2 linked regions of the Danio rerio genome follow. The protein of the gene in region 2 interacts with the protein of the main gene of each other region in a pairwise test. Links are inferred from orthologs where the notes say so. Each region holds a gene or a part of one and is shown on either strand. Other genes may lie near its edges.

Region 1 (3,833 bases), on a different chromosome or scaffold from region 2:
ATAAGCATTCATTAGCACTTTACTTCACATACATGAAAGGAAAAAGTCCCATTATTTCTGTCAGATTATGAAAGGAGATGCAGTCAGAGGAGCAGTTTGATTCTGCAGGTACCAGAAAGAGCACTGAGGCTGGATATACTACAGCTTAAAAAAGAAAATAGTTGACCGTCGATTTCCCGCTACAAATAGGGAAGCTGAAACCTGAGGTAAAATGAAGATGGAAGTTTATTCTCTACCTCTGATTTGGTGCCTTGTGAAATATTTTTTTTTTACAAAAGTGTGCCTTTGAACTGCTTGCTCATGGTAAAGTAGTGGGTGTTCTGAGTGTTTACAGGTGAAACGGACACTTGAAGGAAGGTTTCGGGTTTCACCTTATCGTAACACTCATTGTGAACTGCGGGGACAAAACCCCGAATGCCCTTCGGAATCAATGTTCATTTTTACATTGTTGTCACAAATTAACGTGTATCCAATGCCAAGATATGCAGAGTATTTATTACAGCACTTCTTTATATACACTTTGTATTCAGATATGTGCAATACAATGAGTTTTCTATCTTCTCGTCGAGCTGTATCATATGTCGTTATTGCTCATACACAAGTGCGGATCAATAGTGTGCGGAGAGAAACACAGTATACAGTATTGTTTTTATTAACATAATTACAAAGAAAAAGTCACTTACAGAAGACAAACTTGAGTTCAAGAGCAGATTAATTTTCGCAGATGTCATTAAGATGTGAAAAAAAATAAAGCAAGACAACAGGAGCAAATTAAAAGTGGATTCTCAGTTTACAAAACACACCTAAAATCTACCACAAATCTGAATAGAAAAGAAATCAAATTTGGAGTGCTCGGGTTTTTGCCTTTGTATCTGTTCATTGCAAATGTGCCTCTATGGAGAACCAAACTGGTTGACGCATCAGCCCATTGTAGTTGTGGTGGTAAGTTTGTGGGCCGAGTTTCTCCATAATGATGTTTCTCATGCTATGGTGGCAAATTTGTTACATATTCATAGATTATAGGGCGTTCATGACTCCCTATAGGGAAGGGGGAACCCTGATGCCTGTAAAAAGCCATGCATCATGCTTAAGAAACTCAGCTCAGCGGAAAACATGATCAGTGTTTGGAAATCGGTTTAATGGAATGCATATGAAAGGCAAAAATCGCTGGAATTCATTCGATAAAACTTTCATCGTGAGTAAAACGGGCAGCACATCAGAGTGAACAAAAGCAAATCATAAGGCAACTGAAATCATCAATGTAAAAACAACGTGAATGTGTTGATATGACGAGGGCCTGAATCTGGAATATTCTCCTGTCGGTCTGCTTCTTAAGCTGCTTTGATTTTTAAAGCTGCTCGAAAACAGGAGATCTGAAAGCTGGACAGACTTAAGACTATAATAAACACAAAACAAGCTCCAGACCCTCAGGAAAAACCAAATCAAAACTGCAAAGTCCGGAAAACATTCTTCACGACCTAAAAATCATCCTGTCCTCTTCAATATATTACTCTAACAGTTACTAGGTTAAAATAACTGTCTGAATCGACCTTTTTTTTGTTTGTTTTACAATGGACCGTCCCATTGGAATTCCTCTCAAAACAATACTAATCTTGTATATTACATGTATATTACTTCCTGAATAGGTACAAACAGGGATAAATATTTGGTGATTGAATGTGAAACTGGAAAGAAACAAAACTAATTTAAAACAGAATACAATAGTTTAGTTATAGATTTTCGTCATCGTTGTTGTTTAACAAAAACAATGTTACATACAGTGTTGACGCATGTCCTCTGATCACCTGTGACATCATGAATAAGGTTTGCCAATGTTTGGTTTACATTACGCTAGTATTCAGACAGCTCCTGTACATTGAGATGGTTTAGTTTATAGTTATGCACATCACCACGTCTGTAAAAGGATAAACCCAGCATCTCTTCAGTTTATCGACAATCATCTTCTCTCTTTAGGATTAGTGTTCAGCAGAGGAGCCGCCGTCCTCCCTCGAGTGCTTGCTGGGAGCACTGGGATGTGTGCGTGTATGAGAAACAAGCAAAACAAGTGAGGGAAGGAGACAGGAGAAGAAGGGAAAAGAAGAGAGCGGTAAGGAAGGAATGAGTGAATGAATTATGTTACACCTCCATCACACAGAGCCGTCAGGCCTCTGCGAGCAATCACACTGCGGGGGGGAGAGGCTTTAGATACAGGTGGGATTTGTGGGAGAGGAAGGAGCAGAGAGAGAGAGATAGAGAGAGAAGTCTCCATGGTCATTAACAGCTGCAGCCCTCTTTCTGGGGCTGTGCGTCGCTGCTGAGCCGCCCTCCCTGCGGGGCGGTGGGCTTGTGCTGGACCCCTGACTCGGCTGCGTTCAGGTCCAGGCTGCCGTCCTGAATGTTCTGGTAGATCTTCTTGGCAGCTTCCAGAAAAGCATCCTCCACATTCTCGCCTCTGTTGAACAGACACGCAAAGATGAGCTAGAATGTGAAGGATATTATGACAGATAAAGAGAGGAGGCTCTGACAGCAGATGGTCTGAAAGTCACTTACGTTTTTGCACTTGCCTCAAGGAACAACAAACCTGTTTCAAAAGATTAAAAATGCCACAGTTAAACGTTTTAGCCTTGTAGTTAATTTTATTTAGCAACAAGCAAGCTTGTGCTCAAGTTAGTGAAACATTAAATGAATAACTAGTGGAACTCCACCTTTTTGACTAGAAGAGCCTGTTCATATTTCTCTTATAATTAAGACCACATCTACTTTACAGTACAAAGTATTTTCCCCATTAATATAATACAAAAAGTCTGTTTTGTGTTATGAACTAAACCAACCAGCTATGAGAGGAATCACATTCAACTTTGTGACCGTGGCAGTGTTTCCTCTTGGATTTTTTTCCAGCTGTGGTGGCAGGCCTCTTTTACACAGATCTACCAACTACCTGTGGCGTTATTTCAATGACAAATGTCGCGATCGCATTTATGTAATAGCCTACGAGCATGCGAATCTCTTTGCTTGCGCGCCGATTTCCATTGTTCATATACAAAATTATTGCGCGCCCCCTCAAATATACACTGCTCAAGCGCAGATCTTCTTGTGCGCTCTCAAATAAACGCTGCTAAAGTGTGATTTAATGCATTTATGTAACAAGTATGTCTTCAAGATTTATTAGATTTGCTGGGAATATTTATAAATGTCTCCAATAGACCAACAGAGCGATATTAATGCGTCCTGAAGTAATGCGAAATGGTTATACGTTGTGTTTGCTGGTCTCACGCATCATGCACCTGTCAGTCAGCACGTAATCTTAAAGGGTTAAAGAAATGATGCACAGCACTACTACAGTTACAGAAAAGTTTGCCCTGTTATAATTCACTTACCTTTTAATACGTTTTGGTGCAATTATTAGATTATCATTTAAAAAACATGACTGAATGTTTTGAATGAAAAGTTGCAATGTAGCAATAGCGGATCAATTTTGGAGTGGTGCCCCAGCATGGAAGAATGAATGTAGCGGAAACCATGCATGGAATTTTCTGGGTAATGTAGTTTTCTCCTTAATTTCTGTTATTAAACATTTTAAAATGAAGTTGAAATGATGCGCAAGTATGAGTTAAACAAAAGCATATACAATCAATTAATAACAGGTCTGTCTTAAAATGTCTTGAATTTTTAAATATTAGTTCTTGTTAAAAATAAATCAACAATTTGACTCTGAGATTTTCAAAGTGCATCGCTTTTCTCTCTTGAATTGATTTAAGAGTTTAGTTTTAACAGCAGATGCTGTATGCTTTACAAACAGACGTACTCTGCTTGCATTTAATTCTCTGCAAATA
Region 2 (3,833 bases):
TATTACGACAAAAAGAAAATACTATTTTAAATGCAATTTATTTTGAGGAGCCAGAAAATCAGCAAATTGGAATGATTTGTGAAGGACCATGTGTCACTGAAGACTGGAGTGATGATGATGATAAAAACTCTATTACAAGAATAAGCAACAATTTTAAATATACTAAACCAGAAAGCTCCTAAAAGTGAGAAATCTGGTGAGACATCTTTTTCAAGTAAAACCTTCCCAGAAATGACTTGGTTGTACCCTGATCTCACGAGGAAACTGAACTATTTTATGTTTTGTCAGTTTAGTGACTAATTTGTTCGAATTCAGTTGTACAAAAATGTAAGATTTTAAAAAGAAGGTGTGGCACCCAAACCCCACCTCTTAACCCAACCGTCATTGGGGATGTGAAAATCATACTAAATAGTACTAATAAGATTGTATGAATTCATAAGAATCAGCCACTACATCAAAATGTTATGAATTGTCGTGAGATTGTCTTACAGGTTCTGATTCAATCTCTTCTCTCAAGTTAAAACATATACAGTTGAAGTCAGAATTATAACCCCCCCTGAACTATTACTCCCCTGTTTATTTTTTTCCCCAATTTCTATTTAACAGAGATAAAAATAAAATAAAAATCCAACACATTTCTAAACATAATAGTTTTATATAATAACTCCTTTCTAATTGATTTACTTTAACTTTGCCATGATGACAGTAAATTATATTTTACTCAATATTTTTCAAGACACTTCTATACAGCTTAAAGTGACATTTAAAGGCTTAACTAGGTTAATTAGGTTAACTAGGGAGGTTAGGGTAATTAAGCAAGTTATTGTATAACAATGGTTTGTTCTGTAGACTATCGAAAACAAATTGAGCTTAAAGGGGCCAATTATTTTGACCTTAAATTGTTTTTTTAAAAATTAAAAACTGCTTTTATTGAAGCCGAAATAAAACAAACAAGACTTTCTCCAGAAGAAAAAATATTATCAGACATAATGTGAAAATTTCCTTGCTCTGTTAAACATCATTTGGCAAATATTTAAAAAATTGTAAATTATTTTTATTAAATTTTGGGTAATAATTCTGACTTCAACTTTACGTAGCTCTACAAAATATAGTCTTTACAGTATGGATCATTTTTGAATGTTTATTAGATCTTACTTTTAGTGAATAAATCTTCTTTATTGGCATTAATGGTCCAGAACACGCTCTACAATTCAAAGGACTCCACAAAATTTATTTAAAAAATTCTATATTCTATATGTTCTTAACACTAAAAAAATGATAATTTCAAAAAATGTTCTGAAATGTTCTGTGGGGCCACAAATGTGGTTCTTCTAAGAGTCTATTTAAAGAGTCAAAGTTTAGAAGGAACTTCTTTCAATTCAAATAATTAAAAATGTAATCATTCTTGTTTTAAAGATTAGCAAAAGTCTTATAAACCAACATAAGATTAAGTTAATAATGACTGAATTAATATTTTGGGGTAAACTCATTATTTAAAATCATAAAAGGGTCAAATTTACACAATGGCATGACCTTTGACCGGTCCTTACCCGGAAATCTTTGGCAGAGCGGCGGTATTCTGCCACATCACAGATGGCCAGCATGCCACCCATGGAGCTGTAGCTGAACTGCTGCAGGTGCTCATGGATGAGCCTGTGGAAGCGCACTCCCAGCTCCGTCAAAACAGTGTCTACATTCTTACCATCCATGGACCTCCGCACACGCTCCACCTGCTTCCCCACATAGGCGCACACCTTTGAGCATGCCTTGAAAAAGAGCACAGAAAAGATGGTGTATTAAACACAGGATAATCAGGCATGACCTTCATCCCTAGGTCTGAACAATTTTCTCAGCCCTGATTTCATATTTTTAAAATGGTTTTGTACAGAAATATTAATCAAACATTATAATTAGACATGTTGTTGACAATACACCAAAATGAGGTTATGTGACACCAGTTTAACCTTTTTTTAACATGTAGTTTTAGTTATTTTGACACACAGGATTTGCAATTTATAGTTATGCGTTTGAGTAAAATCTAATTTTTGCATTTATTTGCAATTCAAAAGAAATCGATGAAAAACATTTACACATGTTTGTATTTATTTTTAGACCAATTCTTTAACTGCACAAGTGTTAGGAAAGTACTATTTGATGGAACAGATCCTTTGGTGGAAAAAAAATAATAAAAACATGTAGTTTTTCAAGCTCTAAAATGGCCATTATGATTTATTTTAATTTTAAATTTGTGACCTGACCTTTACAGAATAAAATATTGGCATTTTAATACATGTCAGATTGTCTCTTCTTTTTATTTATTTTTTTTAAATAAATTCAATAAAGGTTTATTGACCTTCTTTTAAGTGTGCTCGTTTTTGCTATTGTTTTAGAACTTCTGATTTAGTTTCATTTGGGAGAGATGACTACGAATAATAAACGGCTGAAAACAGTCAAACTAATTACTCTACAAACAAGTGTTTGCATGACTATACCGACAGAATAATATGATAGGAAATTATCAGTTTGCAACATCAAGTAGTATAACGAGCAGTTTTCAACAAATAAAATGAATGGAAGTGATTGAGACCGGAAGTCTCAAGAAAAAAAAGATTCAAATGGCTGCACTCACTCATATGCAAAGAATAAGGTGAATAGCTTGTCCCTCAAATACTCTACCATGTTATATCAAAATGTCCACCCTGTTAAGTAAGAAAATTATATAATAATAATAATATTAATAATAATAATAATAATAAAAGTTATTTGCAATCATTCATAATACAATAGAAAATTTATAAGGAGTCTAACAGTATTCAGATACAGAAATAATTAGTTTTTACAGCAAAAATGTTATAATTCCCAAATGCTTTCAAACAAATGCTCACGCCTTCCCAGGTCTTAAAAACACACACAATTGATAGACTTTCACTTTTTATGGGTTAACTGAAATGACTCCACATTTTACGTTGTGCAATGTGACTATTGTGGATTCACACATTGAGATATTGATGCTAAAATGATCAACTGTACAGCCCTGGGACAGAATAATTGAATTTGGTTCAGAAACGCTTCAATTTAAGGACCCAAGTTTTATTTAACTTTGTGTTAATAAATACACACAAAGTGCATTCCTTCCTAAGGAAATTCAAAAATGTTGCTTGATTAAGTCAACAAACATTATGCAGATACTATATAAATAATCCAATTCCATATCGCTCAGCTCTGAACAATAATCTGAAAGGGTTAGTTCACCCAACTATGAAAAATGACTCTGTTTGAAACAAAGCACAGACGCTGACATGAACGTGCACAATAAACCGACACCAAAGAGAAAAAAAACATCTACTACAGTAATTATTTTTTTTGTTTTATGTGCACAAAAAAGTATTCTTGTAGCTTGATAATATTCTGATTGAAACACCAAAGTCATATGATCTGTCTTTAGGATGTTTTTGATATTTTTCTGGAGTCTGAATGAGTCCTGCCATCTATGGAAGATTAGAGAGCTCAGATTTCACCTAAAATATCTTCATTTGTGTTCTGAAGATAAATAAAGGTCTCAGGGGTTTGGAAAGACATGAAGGTAAGCAATAATAACATGATTTTTGGTTGAACCGTCCCTTTAAGTCTTAATTTCCCTGCCTGTTCTTCAGAGTAAATTACTATACAGAACAAGATTTTAAGATCTTACTGTAGTGTACTGTATCATGACATTGTTCTCATCTTCTGGCTTGAAGTCGGTTTTCTTCTGTTCAGTGGTCAGGATGTACTTCATTTGGCCAATCATGCAATTCAGTGTCCTGAAAGCAAAGAAACTTGAGTAAAATTCACTA

Evidence for each region.
Region 1: the proteins of exoc5 (region 2) and rab14 interact in binary tests that used the Homo sapiens proteins (3 or more experiments, as listed by UniProt). The two-hybrid records come from large-scale screens. The link is inferred for Danio rerio from reciprocal best matches to the Homo sapiens genes EXOC5 and RAB14.

The regions. Positions count from the first base shown.
Region 1 is NC_133180.1:69,331,436-69,335,268, reverse strand, and holds the end of rab14 (ras-related protein Rab-14), read right to left. Parts: intron 2,582-3,833; coding exon 2,551-2,581; intron 2,453-2,550; coding exon 2,275-2,452; 3' UTR 630-2,274; downstream 1-629. Other genes in the region: cntrl (centriolin), read left to right, coding at 1-4.
Region 2 is NC_133192.1:49,403,554-49,407,386, forward strand, and holds part of exoc5 (exocyst complex component 5), read right to left. Parts: intron 3,801-3,833; coding exon 3,692-3,800; intron 1,767-3,691; coding exon 1,551-1,766; intron 1-1,550. UniProt on the Homo sapiens protein: Component of the exocyst complex involved in the docking of exocytic vesicles with fusion sites on the plasma membrane.